Macaca mulatta: one gene and its partner. The protein of the gene in region 1 interacts with the protein of each later gene in a pairwise test. Links are inferred from orthologs where the notes say so. Each region holds a gene or a part of one and is shown in the gene's direction. Other genes may lie near its edges.

What was found. The genes of interacting proteins can lie anywhere in the genome.
Region 2: the proteins of DACH1 (region 1) and FGF12 interact in binary tests that used the Homo sapiens proteins (3 or more experiments, as listed by UniProt). The two-hybrid records come from large-scale screens. The link is inferred for Macaca mulatta from reciprocal best matches to the Homo sapiens genes DACH1 and FGF12.

What each region holds. Positions count from the first base shown.
Region 1 is NC_133422.1:66,617,690-66,622,822, reverse strand, and holds the start of DACH1 (dachshund homolog 1), read left to right. Parts: upstream 1-1,576; 5' UTR 1,577-2,009; coding exon 2,010-2,857; intron 2,858-5,133. UniProt on the Homo sapiens protein: Transcription factor that is involved in regulation of organogenesis. Seems to be a regulator of SIX1, SIX6 and probably SIX5.
Region 2 is NC_133407.1:6,577,354-6,581,952, forward strand, and holds part of FGF12 (fibroblast growth factor 12), read left to right. Parts: intron 1-3,710; coding exon 3,711-3,909; intron 3,910-4,599. UniProt on the Homo sapiens protein: Involved in nervous system development and function. Involved in the positive regulation of voltage-gated sodium channel activity. Promotes neuronal excitability by elevating the voltage dependence of neuronal sodium channel SCN8A fast inactivation.

The sequences.
Region 1 (5,133 bases):
ATACACTAATTAGTCCATAGTGTCATATTTCTATTTCTCGGTAGACAGTTCTTGCACTTTTTGACATTACGATTCACAGAGTTCAAAGGCTTAAAATGATAAAGAGAAATGAGATCATTTCAACACCAGAATGGTGAAAATTGTATTATAAAATTTCCCAACACTGTGAACCTCTACTAATAGTTTATTTTAAAATCTGCCAAATACTAAAGCATTGCTTCATATCTTATAAACTTAATGAACATGTGTAGACCGGTTCAAAGGCTAACTAATTGAAGATACTTGGAGATATGAGTAGCAAATAGATTTGACCCATTTTCAAATCATATGTTAGTCAAAAATCCTTGAATAAATATCTCAATGCAACAAGTTAGAAAAAAGAAGAAAAGGAAAGAGGAAGGAAAGGAGAAGAGAGTCCAGTCTAAACTCAGCCTCATGTTGTTTTAAGCACAGCTACTCGTCTTTACAAGTCAACTAGTGAGATTTGTTTTTGTTCTTCTCATTATTTACAAAACATATATTTACTGACAAATTGAAAAGGACTTTCCAAAACTACAGCAGCACTTTTCAAACATGAAAAAAAAAAATAACTATTGTGTTGTCCAAAAAACACATTAGCAGCTGGCCTTGGGTCTTAAAGGACATGAGGATAGTTGGTTACTATGTAAGACAGGTGATTTAATTACAGAGTTTTGGGTAAGAAAAGCCTTTTTCCACTTTCTAAATCTTCAAGGATGCCTTATCTCCTTGGTATCTCTAGGTTTAACAGGTATTTCTGACTGGCTTTTGGGGCGACAGTGAAGTTATTCTAAATCATCCACATCAAGTCAAGCATTTCTTTCCACAACCTATTAGGAAATATGGAATTGAATACCGAGCTTTCCATTATTCTTAAGCGATTTCGGACTGACTTTCTTCTCACCACTTGAAAACTGTCCTGGAATTTTTCACTATCTTTATATAAATAATTTAGTAGAGAAATAAAACAATCATATGCAAAAGAACGTTACGCTTTGCTTACATGTGAATTTTCCTCAAAATAATTTCTGAACAATTATGAAGTGGGGGCTGTGTTTTCATTTCTAGCTCATTGCCAAAACGCGTGGAGATGGATCCTAAATCCTTGAAGGAGAGCTCGGAGCGCTCTGGCTCCTGTTTAAGTTGGCGGGCGATTGTTAAGAAGCTTTGGAAAAAATTACCAGTCGCCGCGAACGAAATGGAATGTGAGACATGCAATCTAACGGTAGTAGTAGAAGAGAAGTAGATGATCTCCCTCTTCTTTTCCGATCGCCACTTCTGTGTCCCTGGCTTTTCCTCTCCGTCCCTCCCACAGTTTCTTTCCGTATCCTCCCCCTCCCCTCCTCCCTTCCTCGCACGCTCCCTTTCCAGTGTCTCGCGCTCTCGGAGTCTCTGCTCCGAGTTCCTGGTTGGATAATTTGGGTTAATACTAGTGAGTGAGGTTTTTGCGGCTTCAAAGGGTATTTCAAGTTTCCGGAGCTCCTCCCCTCTGCACCGTGTGACAACAACAACTCGTCCAGCCGGCAGCCTGCACTTTTCAGCTCATTTTCTCTCTGTCATTCCCCTCTCAATCTTTGATCAATGTACTTGCCAGGGAGAGCCCAAGTCCTTCAAACCTCCTCCTTTTCACCTTCATCCTTAACTTTGTGCTAGACCGGGACCCACACAACAACAGCCGACCCTCCCCCCTTCCCCCCCCAAACCAGCCCTCGATCCCAGCCCCCGGAGAGGACTCGCATTTCGACTTGCGGGACACTTTTGTGCGTTTCTCTCCAGAGCGCCTCTCGTGCTCGCCCCTCCTGCGCTCTCTCTTTATTACCTTCACCTCCTTTTCTCCCCCTTCTCTCCCTTTCTCCTTCTCGTTCTCTCCTGGAGTTGTTGTTGTTGCCCCCCTCGCTCCTTCTCCCCCCTTTTTTCCCCTTCCCCTCCCGGGGGTGTGTGGCAACTTTTCCCCTCGCTTCTCCTCCGTCTGTTTCCCCTTATATGTGACCATGGCAGTGCCGGCGGCTTTGATCCCTCCGACCCAGCTGGTCCCCCCTCAACCCCCAATCTCCACGTCTGCTTCCTCCTCTGGCACCACCACCTCCACCTCCTCGGCGACTTCGTCTCCGGCTCCTTCCATCGGACCCCCGGCGTCCTCTGGGCCAACTCTGTTCCGCCCGGAGCCCATTGCTTCGGCGGCGGCGGCGGCCACAGTCACCTCCACCGGCGGCGGCGGCGGCGGCGGCGGCAGCGGAGGCGGCGGCGGCAGCGGTGGCAACGGAGGCGGCGGTGGCGGCGGCGGCGGTGGCAGCAACTGCAACCCCAGCCTGGCGGCCGCGAGCAACGGCAGCGGCGGCGGCGGCGGCGGCGGCATCAGCGCTGGCGGCGGCGTCGCCTCCAGCACCCCCATCAACGCGAACACCGGCAGCAGCAGCAGCAGCAGTAGCAGCAGCAGCAGCAGCAGCAGTAGTAGCAGCAGCAGCAGTAGCAGCAGCAGCTGCGGCCCCCTCCCCGGGAAACCCGTGTACTCAACCCCGTCCCCAGTGGAAAACACCCCCCAGAATAATGAGTGCAAAATGGTGGATCTGAGGGGGGCCAAAGTGGCTTCCTTCACGGTGGAGGGCTGCGAGCTGATCTGCCTGCCCCAGGCTTTCGACCTGTTCCTGAAGCACTTGGTGGGGGGCTTGCACACGGTCTACACCAAGCTGAAGCGGCTGGAGATCACGCCGGTGGTGTGCAATGTGGAACAGGTTCGCATCCTGAGGGGACTGGGCGCCATCCAGCCAGGAGTGAACCGCTGCAAACTCATCTCCAGGAAGGACTTCGAGACCCTCTATAATGACTGCACCAACGCAAGGTGAGTCGCGGGGGATAGCCCCCGCCACCCGCGCCCCTTCCCACCCGCCTGCTCGCCCTGCCCTCGCTCCCTTCCCGGCGCCGCTCGCTCTGCGCGCCCGCGAGCCGCGCGCCCCGGCGAGCGCGGCCCTCTCCTCTCCTGCTCGGGGTTCGCCAGCCGCGCCCGACCCCTGAGAAGCTGGCACCTCACCCTGCCCAGACCTCGCTCTTCGGCCCGGTCCGCCCCTTGCCCAGTGGGTCCTGGGGATGGGCTGCTGTGGGACGCGGGAAAAGCCGAGCCTCGGGGCGGAGGGGACGAGCCGGAGGAGGAAGGCGTCTTTCCTGGAGCCATAGCCCCCTGCCCCGGGCGCGCGGGCGCCTGGAGACCCCTCTCAGCGCTGCCGTCCGCGTTCGTGCGCTCCCTAGGACCTGGGTTCCACCGCCCGCTTCCCAGCACCGACAGGGCTGATCTGTGGCGCCGAGCGCCGTCCCAGGGGCGGGGAGAGGTCGTGACCTGCTCCGCAGGGCTCGGGGAGCGGGGAGACGCGCTCCGGGTGAGGGGCCCGCTGGGAAAGGCGAGGGAGCGGGCCAGCACCCAAGGAGGGCACTTTGAGGTCGGGAGGGAAATGACCCGCGAGGCTGAGAGACCGGGGCCATCCCGGGGGATGAGCTCCGGGGAGCTGAGCTCCGAAGCCCGGAGGGGAAGCCCGTCGAGGGGAGGGGTCTGTGTGTTCGCGCATGTGTGCGTGTGTCCGCGTGTGAGTGAGTGCGTGTGCAAAGGAAATAAAGGGGTGCGGTGGCCCCGGGGCAGATGCGAGGGCAACCAGCAGGTTTTCTTCGGTAGGGGGAGGTGACCGAGTGCCCGAGACTCAATGGAAGCTGAACTGGAGAGATTAGGAAGGAAAGCCACGAAGCGCGCTCTCTCTCGATCTCTCTCTCTGTCTCTTTCTCTCCAAAGTGTGTTTTCTTTCTTTCTTTCTCTTTTCTTAAAGGTTAGTAGCTTAAGCAGCGAGCAGGTGCACACTTTGCACTGGAATGCTGAGCGGGCCTGATACTCTGTTCCTTGGCTTCCCCAGCCCAGCAGAGCGCGCGCACCGAGGAGGCGGCGGGACCGGTCCCCAGCCAGACCAGTTTTATGCTAATGAACGCTCAGTGGGGGAGGATCTACCGAGAGGGGGCGGGAGTGGGGCAACTTGTCAGTTTCGGGTTAGAGATGATCATTCCACCCCCTTTCACAGCTCCGCTTTGTCCCCACGGTTCGCTGCAAGGAAGTGCAGAGGCAAAAGTTCAGAGTGGGATTCCGGGAGAAAGAGAATAGGGAAAGTTGAAGACCTGAAGCGGGCACGTGGGAACTGCGCGCAAAATTTGCGCGGAAACTTCGGTGCCCTCCAAATAAGTTTGAAGATTGAGAGAAGGAGCGGAGTTGGTGTGTGCCCCCGCAGAGACAGGGAAACTTAGGTGGAAGGGAAGTGTAATAAGGAGACCAGAAGGAAATTGTGTTGAAAAAGCGCTAGCTCTTTTTCCATGGAGAAAGACTTCTCGCCTTGTGCCCGAGAAGGCTGAGAAAAGAAAAAGATTCGAATTCCAGTCCAGCAAATGTCCTATCCTGACCTAGCCAGAAATTCTTTTCCGTGTTTAGGTACCCTTCGTTCCATGGGACATGGGTGTGTTTGGGCTTTGAACCTTCGACTATTTGGGGGTAAATGCTCTGTGTGTGTGTGTGTGTGTGTGTGTGTGTGTGTATGCGCGCGCGCCCAAATGTATGGACAGGTGGCAGTAAAGATGGGGGGTAGTGGGGGTTGCGGAAGCAAGATCACTAAATGTCATTTACTCAGATAATTGGAGCTCTTGGTCGTGCAGAATATAAAATATTTGCCCCAAATCTATTTGAATCAGGTCAGAAAAATTGTTCTGGAGTTGCGAAGAAAGCTAGGTGAAATTTGAAGCTAGTTCAGATATGATAGTTATAAAATTGTCTGCCTATCCAGTAAATTGGTGAATCGCTACTGTTTTTTTTTTCTCCTTAGTAATCAAACATCTACTCTCCTCAGAATCCTCTTTATGTGTTTCTTACAACACACTAGATACTAGATAATTAAAGTCCATTTCACATACACATACGTAAACACACAAAATTGCTGGAGAAAACTTCCTTCAGTGACTGCATTATAATAAGTGTTATAATCAGTGTTAAACTTGATTTATTCCCTGAATTTTTGCCTAGATTTTAAGTCCTCACCATGTGGTTGGAGAATATTCTTAAAGTTATTAACTAAATTTTTTTTTCAAGTTTTTTTT
Region 2 (4,599 bases), on another chromosome or scaffold:
CATTGCTGATTAGGACCTGGATGCTGTGTAAGAAATCCCCCGTTTGTCAATGTAGTAGTCCAAAGCCCAGTTCCTACCTAATGCTGTTCCTGGTTCAGGACCCTAGGACTCCAGCTCCTGCGCAGTATCTCTGACTTTTACTGTTCCGGGAGGGACTTTTAAACGAGTATGAAACAAACCTAAGAGTCATTATTTATTAAATGAGAGTGTTGTTTTTCTCATGTATAAATGACAATGTAGTAATTATACATCACTGATATGGTTTCTATAATAATGACTAAGGCTTGCTCAAATCAAGCTTGGAGTCGAAAGCAGGACTGCCTATGCAGTAGGAAAGCAATGTGTGGCACTGGAAGAAGTACTGAACCAGCAGCGAGGAGCCCGCTGTTCAACACAGGGTCTGGATCTGCCTCTAACTTCCTGTGACACTGGGGACAAATATTTCACTATCATGAACTTTCATTACCTTGTTAAATAAAGGCGCCAAATTGTACTGTCACTAAGCAGCACTAAGCAGCTTTGTATCTATCTTCAAATGTACATGTTTCTGTGATGTACGTTCATAAGAAGGTTTTATCACTATCTACATATATGACGATATGTACTTACACGAAACAGGAATTATTTATTCCCTAACTTCTTTATAAAGTCTGAAATCTCACACATAGAATGTATTTCTTGAACTTTCCAGAGTTCCTTAGCATAGCATCTAGGGTTAATACTATGTTTGTTAGTATTGGACTAGATCTAGGAAAAAAAAAAAAAGCTTTGGGATTACTTTAGTTTGTTTTTAAAAGAAAATGAACCTAAATCTGTACCTAAATTTAAGCATTTTAATAATACTTTATTAGTCCTAGAAGAAAACCAGAACTTAATATTATCACCTAAATTGAATCTGAATTAGTTTTATCCATTTTACTTGGCAGTGATTAAACTCTATCCTGGCAATATTGAGCCAAGGCCTTAAAAGAGCTGGTTTTCCTTCCCATGGGTTATCATGTAGCCCTGTGCTGCCAGGCAAGGAATGTGCAATAGTTTCGTTCCTTCCCTCACTTTCTTTAGTCACCTTGTTTATCTGATTTTCTTTTATTTGAGATATCAGTTGAATGCCATGTAATTTACATTTTTAAAGTTTATGCATGCTTTAGTGGTTTTTGGTACATTCAAAAAGTTTTGCAAACATCACCAGTATCTAATTCCAGAACATTTCATCCCTCCAACAAACAGTCACTCCACCCGTATATCCATCTCACCTCCTTCCCCAACCATTGATACTCACTACTCTACTCACTATCTCTGGATTTGCTTATTCTGGACATTTCATATAAATGGAATCATACAACATGTGGCCTTTTGTGTCTGGCTCCTGGCCCTTAACATAATGTGTATGAGGTTCATCCTTGTTGCCACATAAATCAGCATTTCATTCTCCTCTATAATTGAATGATATTACAATTGCATTCTGCAGAACTATCACACTATATTTATGCGTTCATCACTTGATAGATGTTTGGGTTGTTTCCACATTATGAATAATGTTACTATGAACATTTGTGCACAAGTTTTTGTGCAGACATGTTTTCATTACTCTTAGAACTAGACCTACAAGTAGAATTGTTGGATTGTGTGGCAACTGTGTGTTTCACCTTTTGAGGCACTGCCAACCTATTCTCCACAGCTTCTGCGTCATTTTACATTTCCACCAGCAATGTATGTGAGCTGCAGCTTTTCCACATCCTCACAAACACTTTACAATGTCCATTTTTAAATTATAGCCATTACAGTGGATGTGAAGTAGTATCTCATGGTCATTTGTTTCTTTGATTCTTAAGCTGGTAGTTCACTTACTTAAAACTGAAAGTACTCTAAGAAATCACATTTCAGTATTAATATAAACATAGTATTAATTTATTGCTACTCTTATTATTTTAGTATCTACAATCACCTTTCTACTCCAATTTTCTCTGGGGAGTGTTTTCTTGGACTTTTTTTGGGGGGAGTGGGGATTGGATAAATTTCGTTCTGTCACCCAAGCTGGAGTGTGGAGTGTAATCTCTGTTCACTGCAACATCCACCTCCCCTGTTCAAGTCATCCTCCCACCTCAGCATCCTGAGTAGCTGGAAATATAGGCATCCGCCATCACACCCGGCTAATTTTTGCATTTTTAGTAGAGATGGGGTTTCACCATGTTGGCCAGGCTAGTCTCGAACTCCTGACCTCAAATGATCTGCCTACCTCAGCCTCCCAAAGTGCTGGCATTACAGAGGTAAGCTACTGCACCCCAGCCTACTCCAGTTTTCTTAGTCTCATTTTTCTTAATCTGTAATGTTAGAACTATTCAAAAATAAGCTGGGTGCAGTGTACACACCTGTAGTTCCTGCTACTTGGGAGGCTGATGTGGGAGGATCTTCTGGGCCCAGGAGTTTGAGGCCAGCCTAGGCAACATAGCAAGACCCCATCTCTTACAAAAAGAAAAAGAAAAAAAAAAGAAGAGAGAGAGCACTCTCTACAAATAAAGAGATTAGCATGGGAGTATCACCTATAAGGACATGGTTTCAACCAACCCTATTCCTCTATTCATTAATAACTTAATTTCACATTTGCTTGCATTAAATCATGGGGGTCTCACATTGAAATTCTTCCAGTACATGGAGAGGAAGATGATGACTATGGTGAATATGTCTGACATGTAGGACTCTTGTTTAATTCAGCTGAAGAAGATGCAATAGCATTTGTGTTTCTTCTGCTTATCTCAGAAGGGGAGAAATTTCTTCCTTCCACAAAATAGATTTTGTTCATGTGACATGTTAGGATATGATTTTATTGTATTGATTTTTAAATCTCATCATAAGTCACTAAACAAGACTCAGGCAGAAAAGGTGAGCCTGAGAGGCGGTGATTATGAAGCAATAAATGTGAGCTCTGGCATTGACTCAGTAGTTTTGTAAATGTATATTTGAATTAATCATATAACCTTTTGGTTTTCTCACTTACCAAATGTTGGAGTTGAAGTACAGGATCTTACGGTTTCTTCTGAGACTAAAACTCTCATTCTGTGTTTCACTGAGATCAATAGTAATAGGAATTACTGTTAGTAATTTTCTTCAATATAATAGTAATTTTTTTCTATTACTTATTCCTGGGCTTTTTATCTGAGATTTTGATTACTAAGGAAAAAAATGTTTTAAGGAAATTAAAGAGGAAGTTACTGACATTAGGAAAAGTGGTGATTTTACTGACCAAGCTGTGGCTATGTAATATGTTTTTGTATATACAGAATAGTCTCTTCAAAAGCACCTTGTGTGCCTGTGTTTGCTGTGGTTATATTTGATTTTGATTTCCAGGATAAATTTTAGTTCCTTATTTACATGTTAAGGGCGAGTAAATGAGGAATGGCCAATGACTTTAGTTTACAAAACATATTGCTAGGATCAGAGCGCAGACTTGGCCACAGTCCTGAATGATTTTCACCTAGCTTCAAGCCTGAGCAAATTGTTATCACTGGGGTAAAGGTTGGCTAGAAAGGAAATCATGTTTTTTTATTTTGTATGATGAATCTTTATAACCAAAGGATAATAGAAACTATGTGTCATTGCCTTTCATTTGTTCTTAACAGAGGACATGGATTTCAAGCTTATTGGATTTCAGCGTTTGCTGATTCACCTTTAAATCATTCCTCTTTTTTGTGTCTTTTTTTTTTTTCCTACAGGATGTTTTCACTCCAGAATGCAAATTTAAGGAATCTGTGTTTGAAAACTACTATGTGATCTATTCTTCCACACTGTACCGCCAGCAAGAATCAGGCCGAGCTTGGTTTCTGGGACTCAATAAAGAAGGTCAAATTATGAAGGGGAACAGAGTGAAGAAAACCAAGCCCTCATCACATTTTGTACCGAAACCTATTGAAGGTATGAAACCAACTGACTGTCTTTGTTGGACCGTTATTTGTGTGTTGACATCAATTCTGCTCCTTGCCCTTGTGCTCCAGAGAGTGTGCCTGGAATGTAACAGATCAGAAGAAGGATTCAAAACAAATATTCAGAAAACACAATAGTATCTTATTTATTTATTTATTTATTTATTTATTTATTTATTTATTTATTTATTGAGACGGAGTCTTGCTCTGTCACCCAGGCTGTAATGCAATGGTGCAATCTCGGCTCACTGCAACCTCCACCGGGATTCAAGCAATTCTCCTGCCTCAGCCTCCGTAGTAACTGGGAATTTCTTCCTATTAAAAAAAAAAAAAAAGGAAAATTCTGTTACAAAGACTTGGCACTTGAAAAAATGCCTGAGTATAGAAGCTGGAAACATTTTGAAAGTAGAAAAGGAGTGGTAGTTACTATCTAGTATGTAATTTCCTCCTTTTCTAAACCTAATAATTTAATTTCTCAAGATCCACCCTTGAAAAACAAATGATAGTTTTATATTTACGGTATTACATTGCATCCTTCCCAGGTGAGCTTATCACCTTTCCGCTCATAATCATTTAATACTCTTACTCTGTTCATTTATTTCAAACTGACCATTAGAATAAACCTTTTTTTTCTTTCCCCTGAGGAAACCAATTTTTATCCTCATTTTATAGATGAAGAAAT